Linked DNA regions of Coturnix japonica. The protein of the gene in region 2 purifies or fractionates together with the protein of the main gene of each other region. This does not show direct contact. Links are inferred from orthologs where the notes say so. Each region holds a gene or a part of one and is shown on either strand. Other genes may lie near its edges.

What was found.
Region 1: the proteins of KCNQ1 (region 2) and NEDD4L purify together in Homo sapiens (affinity purification with western blotting, with the first as the bait; 3 studies listed by BioGRID). This does not show direct contact. The link is inferred for Coturnix japonica from reciprocal best matches to the Homo sapiens genes KCNQ1 and NEDD4L.

The regions. Positions count from the first base shown.
Region 1 is NC_029547.1:603,846-608,033, forward strand, and holds the start of NEDD4L (E3 ubiquitin-protein ligase NEDD4-like), read left to right. Parts: upstream 1-1,388; 5' UTR 1,389-1,612; coding exon 1,613-2,770; intron 2,771-4,188. UniProt on the Homo sapiens protein: E3 ubiquitin-protein ligase that mediates the polyubiquitination of lysine and cysteine residues on target proteins and is thereby implicated in the regulation of various signaling pathways including autophagy, innate immunity or DNA repair.
Region 2 is NC_029520.1:11,089,990-11,093,489, forward strand, and holds part of KCNQ1 (potassium voltage-gated channel subfamily KQT member 1), read left to right. Parts: intron 1-2,081; coding exon 2,082-2,192; intron 2,193-3,500. UniProt on the Homo sapiens protein: Pore-forming subunit of the voltage-gated potassium (Kv) channel involved in the regulation of cardiomyocyte excitability and important in normal development and functions of myocardium, inner ear, stomach and colon.

The sequences.
Region 1 (4,188 bases), on a different chromosome or scaffold from region 2:
TTCTCTCCCCCCATAAGAGCAGAGAATACGTGGTGTGTCTTCATCTTCAGATAAAAAAGAGACTATGGAAAATGGTGTACCTGAAAAATAAGATAAAATCAACACTTGTGCTTGCACAAGACAGTTCCACAGCACTGTGGCTGTGTAGAAGCTATTCATGTTTTTCTTCTTGTTGGCTCCTGGTCCACTTAAAACAATAGGGGATTGTGCTGTCTGCTGGCAGTTGCAAGGTTTGAAGCTTCCATTTGTCTTTGATTGGTCACTTTATGTCTTTTGAGAGCAAGCCGCATGGAAACAGAGGTTTAAACGTCTAGACAGAGCACTGACCTGCCACCGATAGTTTGTTGACAGCACTTCTCAGTGTTCTCCTAAGGAACAGATGTCTGTACATTGAGCTGATCCTACGCTGTCTCTTCTTGTAGATGTGCTTTTAGCTAACCGGGTGCTTCCCCAGCATGTGCGAACCGTTGCGATGGCGGGCGCCCTTCGGCTGCGAGGATCCCCCAGTCACCAATTTCCTGCATTGCAGTGGAGCATATTCAGGGTGTTTGTTCTGCAGTTGGATGTATCCTGCTGGTCTGTTCTGCTTCTGAGGTCTCTTGGCTCTCAGAGTGTAACTGTATTCCGTGCCTGCGATCACGCCCATGGTAGAATTGCTAACTTTCCCACTGGAGGCTGGCCAGTAAAGGGCAGAGTTTCTGTGCGCTGTTTAAGACAAATCGGTACCAAACGGCAATGCGACACCCGTCTCTGGTTTTCTCTCGTCGTTACTGCCCGGTAACACTGGAAAAGGAGCTTTGCCTCCTGTCATTTTGCGCATTTCTCCTGTTTCTACTGAGTGAGAAATCTTTGCTGTGCATAGGGCTGCTTTGTTTGCTGTAATTTTTACTGATTAAAAGGGGCTGTGTGGGCTCACTTGGGCTGCATTGCGCTCCTAGGGACAACGTGAAAGTTGTGGCTTTTTAAAGGCAAGGAGCTTGTTACTTAACCGTGCTATGAGCACAGTTAAAATTGAAAGCGTAACGGTGCTATATTTACTCACGTTCTGCCATGATAGCCTCGTGCTGTAACACACACCAAAAAGTTAAGCTTGAAATATTGTTCCTTATTTGCATGTGGCGTTGACTTACAGCCCTAACACCGAACCGTTTGTGTTGTCGTTAACTTTCCGTGCGCCCTGTGCGAACGCGCCGTGCGGGTACGAGATGAGTTAGATTTATAGCGGCGCCGAGTGTGCTCGCTGCCTCGGTCAGCTGCGCCCTGATGGAAAAGGAGCAGCTGGGAAGGTGCTGTTTCAGGCTCTCGCTGGCATTAAAAAAAAACAACAGAACCCCCACTGGCTTAGATTGGAGAGGGGGAACCGGGCCACGTGACCGCCACCATCCTACCCCATGTCACTGTGTGTAGGAGTGCTGATTGCTCTTACCCAATCATGCCTGGAATGCTGCTTGCCACTTGGGCTATTTCTGCTATCTGTCGCTATCAGTGCTGCAGTGCTAACAGTTTGGCAGATGGGACACTTTTTCTTGGAGTTTATGTCTTTGGTTTTTAACTTCTGGCAGCGCCTGAATTGTTGCCGTTCTCCCTCTCCTTTTCTTCTCTCTGTAAAACCATGGCCCATCGGCTGCGGTTTCATTTTGGCTCTGGGCGAAGCAACACAGCCCCCGAATCCGAGATCCTCGACCGGGAGAGAGAAGATGAGATTTTCATGGCATTCCACACTTTGCCGAGAAGAAGCAGCCCTCACGCTTTCTCCCGACACGGAGCAGATTACGGCGGTGGCAGCGATTTCCAAGAAGTGGGCTCCTTGAAAAGGAGCACCTCCATGTTTATTCCCCAGCTGCTGAACAGCATCAGCGCACGTCCCACCAGGAGCTCCTCCATGCAGATCTCTCTCCAGCGCAAGGCTGCAGATGAGTGCGCGACCCCGGAGACCCCCAAGGAGACACCCCTGAGCAAGGCCTCGGATGTTAGGGAGCATTACGTGTCTCCCGTTGAAAACCATTCATCCTCCCGGAGTAGCCCAGAGGTGGCTCCTGATGATTCTCCACCCAGGCAGACAGAGGAGTTGGGGCAGCAGATGAATGGCACTCTTCGCTGTAACCGTAGGATATTCCGTACTATTCCTCCTAATAACCAGAGCGACGATGCTCTGTCCACTGCCCATGAGAATGAAGCAAAGGAAACACCTTCAGGTTTGAACTTCAGCGGCGTGAGGATTCAGCATCGTGCTTCAAGTGCCGATGTGCCTCAGGTTACTCTGTTGCCCTATGGTTCCGAGGCTCAAAATAATGCTCCCACCCCCGAGCCCCGGCGCTGGTCTCTGCAGCATGTGCCAGACATGTCAGCAAATGCAGGGAAAAAGTTCTTTGTTCTCCAGTTACAGCAGCCGCAGGCAAGTGGTAAAGGTGGCGAGTATAACTTTGGCTTTACTGGGACAAAAGGGGATAGATTGGTCAGGTACCCGCGCATACAGCTGGGGAGGAGCGCTTCCTACCCTGTGCAACCACGGCCAGAGGAAATCCGCCCTGCAGGTGAGGGACTGACTTCAGAACTGCATGGAAACAGCAGGAGCGGGTCAGAAATATCCAGAAGCAATTCAGTAGAGAAAATTCCTCAAGGGAAGGGATGCCTGTTTAAAATCAGACCAGATCAAAACACGAGACAGCAGCACTTCAGAATCCTTGTCACCCGTAATCCCGAGGAGCAAAGTCCAGTGGTTGGTACAGAATGTCGTGGCACCCCTGGTCCTGCAGCAGCCAGCACCGCGGTGAGTAAGATGCTGAGTGTGCTCTGCTAACACTGTACAGAATTGCCATGCAAAGGCTTTTAAACCTGAGGCAACTGGACGGCTCCCTTGTTAGTGCTAGAACATTCGCTGTTTCTCTGGAACCAGCCACTAGTGATCTCTGTTTCAGATCTGCTTTAGCTTTGTCCTCGGCTGTGGTTATGTGCGGTGTAATATTTTGAGATCCTAACGTCACATGTTGTACATAAGATTCTTTTAAAATCAGAACAACCAAATGGCAAATTAAGGGATCATGTTTAATTAAGGATTAAGGAATTCTTTGTGCACTTCGTAGCCTGAAAACAAATGCTTTGATAAAGCCTAAGGATAATGTGCATGTTTGTACCCCTGTGGCTTTAAAAATGTGCATCGTAATGCAATAGGAGCTAAAGTGGTAGAAATCTCATGGTAAGTCTAATGAAGGTAACGGCCTAGCAGGTAAGGTAACAAAAAGTTAGGGGGAAAAAGGAGGCGTTAGGGTGTATTTTTTCACTCGCTTTTGGCCTTCTCTAAGCTAAGGGTTTGTCCTGTTTTTTTGTGTGCCACAAGTCCTGATCAAACAACTTGGGAAACTGTGCTGTCAGTTCTGTTTGCGTTGGTTTTACTTTCAGGTGCCAGGATTCATCTTCTGGTCCTGTTATAACGAATGAAGTCTGAAGTTTCATGTTTTTAAGCCATTTTTGAAAGACCAAAGCAGGAATGAAAGGGAAGGGTTTAGATTAGTCATTTGCTTTAAACTGCTTTACTGTGCAATTTAACACTGCCCACTTGAGTCCCTGAGCTCAGTGATGCTGTATATAGAATAGCAAGTGCTCTGTCTCCAGCTGTGAAAACAGATTCACTGGGAGAGATTTGGGTCTTCGCTGCCTGTGTTCTCATTCTGCTGCGCTTTTGTTCAGTGAAATGCAGTACGGAGAGACAGCTGCTCACTGCAGCAAGGCCGTATGATGACTCTGCAGCTTTCTTGTTGAGAAGCTGGCATCTCCAAGCTATTCTGGTGTAGCCTTCTTTTGAGCCCTTCAGTCGTTATTATGCATAGAAAATCACAAATTACAGCCAAGTGTTAATAAAAATACACAGTGAAAAAGATTCTTAAACAAAGAAGTACAGTTTCACTTCACTTTCTGTCAGCTAAGCAGCTCAGTAAGTAGTGCACAGTCTCTGTCCTGCTAGCCTAGAACATTTCAGCAGCAAAGTCTGGAGTGAAGAATCTTCCTTGATTTTTCTCCTTCGTTTGAATCTCACTGGTGCAGTACATTGCGTTCCACTGTGTTTTATCTCACACTAAAAATGTATGTGTGGTTTTCCTGCTGATCACTGGGTACTAGCAGTTCTTGGAGGACCACCATAGCTGGCTGTATCAGTCAGTGCAGTCAGGCAGCCCCAGTAGAAGCACTGGC
Region 2 (3,500 bases):
ATTTCCAAAATGTCTTTTAAAAATATATCCCAAACAAAATACACATAAGATGCTTTTATTCTATCACTGATCTTTCTGATAGAGGGAATGGATGAGGTTGGTAGAGAATGGAAGGAAAAACAGATACCTTTCAGATTTGTATGAGTTTTTCATGTGCCTCTATTTCTTTTCACATTTCTAGTTAATGTATATGTTTAAACAAGACATTATGACTATGATATAGAATAGCTGACACTACTTTTCAGTGATAAGATTGTATCAATTTTTTTTTTCATAACTGAGGCATAAGACAGCTTAACTCATAATCTTTGATGTAAGATGGTGCTGGAGGCCATCACATTTGCCAGAATTCATTTGTTTTTGTAAGACAATATTTTGTGAGAAGAAAAATTGTAATTAGAATTTAGAATTTCCTTTAATGGAACCTCTCATGGATAACGGGATAAAATAAGTCCTTCAATTCCTTCAAGGGCTTTGAATTAAGGTATTTCATCAGTATCAAGAATATAGACCGAGGTATTTGTGTATTGGTCTTACCTTACTAATCCTTGTCTTGAATGGGAACAATATTTGGAAATGAGACACAGCTTAAAAACTTATCCAAAACATTATATTTTCTTTTTAATGTATCAGTGACTTGCAACAAACTTGTATCATCATCACTTCAAGCAGCCACAGCTGTCCCTTTTCATGCATTTGACAGACATGAAATGATAAATTGCTTGGAAGGGGGTCAGTGAGAGTAGATGGCTTGCTTCAGGTGTTTCTCAGGTGGGAACATAAATATGCCATGGTGTCCCTCTGGTGTCTCATCTTTTAATAGGAATGAATGGCTACTAATGTGACATGTGGCAGCACTTCTTCTGAACCACCTGTCATGACCATGTATTTCCCAAGTTCTCTGTTCCTTCACACCATTAAGGAATATCTCACTTCTATAAATCTGCTCTTCCCTTTTGTTCTCTCCTCCCCTGCAGATGCTGCCTGTGTTTCTGCAGTTGTTAGGGAGTGTGCAGTGAAGCAGACAGGTGAACTGGGAGTGGCTTAAAGGCACAGCAGGGATGATGTGTGGGTATTGCTGTCTGGGACTGATGTCTTTTGTGGCCTGTGCAGCTGAAGCTCATGCTCTCAGAGGGAAACGTGAAAAGCCAGCAGCTAAGATGTGCTTCAGCTGCTGAAGAGCTTCACATAGTTCACATGTTCTGGTTTGGTTAGCCTTCTTCAAAGCCAGCGATAGAAATCTCCCTAATTTCCAAATTCAGGAATAGCTTCTGACATAGGTGAATTTAAATTGCTCTCAGATGCCGAATTTATCCCTTCTGCTTCAAACAAATCCATTCTTTCCTTGAGCTCCTGAAAATAATGACTTATTAAGCCTTGTTATGCTACATCACCATGGTGGTAATCTTTACTTCAGTGGAACCCAAACTCAACAGATGTTTCCTGTATGTGTGCATTAAATTATCTGTCCTTGCTCTCGATGTTCTGTCCGAGTTTATGATTCATTAGGCTGTTTTAAGGATCTGTTGCTGTACGGAAATTTTTCTGCTTCTCTTGCTATAAATGCCAACATTATTCTCTAGAATACTTCATGTCTGACCCTATTTGTATTCCACAGTTACAGTGTGTGTGTGTATATATATAGTTTTTCTTTGCAACATCCCTGAAATTCTCCCAGCAAACATCTCCTGCCCATAAAGAAAATCAGCAGCTCAGAACTGCTGGCAGCCTCCCTCTGAGGGAAGGGTATGGCATGGGCAGGCAGCCCACATCCCAGAAACTCATATACTGTAAAGTAGACTAAGCCACGAAGACTTACATTAATGGTTTTGCTTTACAAGATTTTAAACACGTATTTTATTGTAATTCAATTTCCTGTACCTCTTTCATTCTACTATGGATGAGGAAACAAACTGAGAGCAGGGAATTGCCTTCTTAATGTCGCACAGATTGTCACTGGGAGAGTTAGGAATGCAACTAATGTTTCTTTAAAATAAATTAATAACAATGAAATAAAGAAAAGCCAACCAGAACTGACGTGTTAAAACTTTCTGTAATGCTCTGTGTATTTTTCCTTGCAGGTGACAGTTACAACTATTGGCTATGGGGATAAAGTGCCTCAGACTTGGATTGGAAAGACCATTGCTTCTTGTTTTTCAGTGTTTGCAATATCATTTTTTGCACTACCTGCGGTAGGTTATTTTGTTGTTGTTGATCCATTCATTGCCAGAGAAAGCTTTTTGTTAATAACTCCTTAAACTTCTGAATCTTAAACCCAAACACTGAGTTTTTATGGTATGCAACATCAGATTTTCTGTGCATTTCAGAAAGGGATGTGTGATTCAAAACACTTTTCCTGCCCTTCTAGGAAGGGCAAAGAAAGTACTTCTTATGTTGTTTACTTCTGGACTTTGTGACTTAATGTTTTGACTTTTTAAGGCATTTACTCGTAGTTTACTCAACTGATTTAGTCCAAGGTAAACTGGAGGGTTCTTATGCACTCTCTTCCTCTGGCAGAGCTACAGAAACGGTGTTGCTGGCAGAGGCAGCAGTTAAGCAGTCAGGTGCAGCAACACTGGCAGCTAATGCGTCTGCTTGCCAAGTTAATGTATGACTATGGCCAAAGTTTCATGTTTCCAAAGTGATTTAGGGATGAGCTTTTAAAGGTATGTTGGCTCTTTTTTGAAGACAGATTAATACTTTCTAACAAGAAATGGGGTACCTGCGTACCAAGAGTAAATTCAAGTTCAGCAAAATCTAGACTGTGGTTTGGAAACCCAAAATGGTTCAGTGCAAAGAGCTGTTAAGGGTATTACTTTCAAAAGTTTAGCATTACTTGTATTTTGTGCTTTTAAAATGTTTGTGCAACCTGAACTGTGCTGTCAAAAGGTCTGTGAAATTGGATGTGAATTGGATGAAAAAAAAATCTGGATCTGAATAGAATATCCCCTACTGTCAAAATACTGCCAGCTTTATTTTTCAGCAAGTTTTTCAGCTGTATTAGCATAGTATGACTGTGGTGAGGAAGTGGTGGGGATAAGCTAGTGATAGATAATAATATTATTTTTATACCAATGCCTCCACAAAAATTCTTCACAATATTTAACAGCAGCTGTTAAAACTAAAGTGGCTATTTAAAAGTAGTCACTTACTTTAAAAGTGCTCAAACTTTTGAAGAGTTATTAAGTATAGATTTGTAAACTCTCCAACATCAGTTTGTCTTCAAAATATATTTTCCCCTTAACTTTTTACTTTCTCATTTGTACCTTGATTAGAAGAGAGACTTAATAAATTAAATGATCTGCAAGAGAAATCTGAAAGTCTGATTTTTTTGGCTGTTTTACTTCTTGGACCAAAATGACAGCAAATATGTCTAAAATAAATAAATGTATAGTAGCCCCACTTTCACATTAATGCTTTTCTCTTTACAAGTAGAAATGAAAGAACACCCCACCTTTATCACTGAGATTTTGTTATTGAGTTGAACAGTTTCTGTGAGC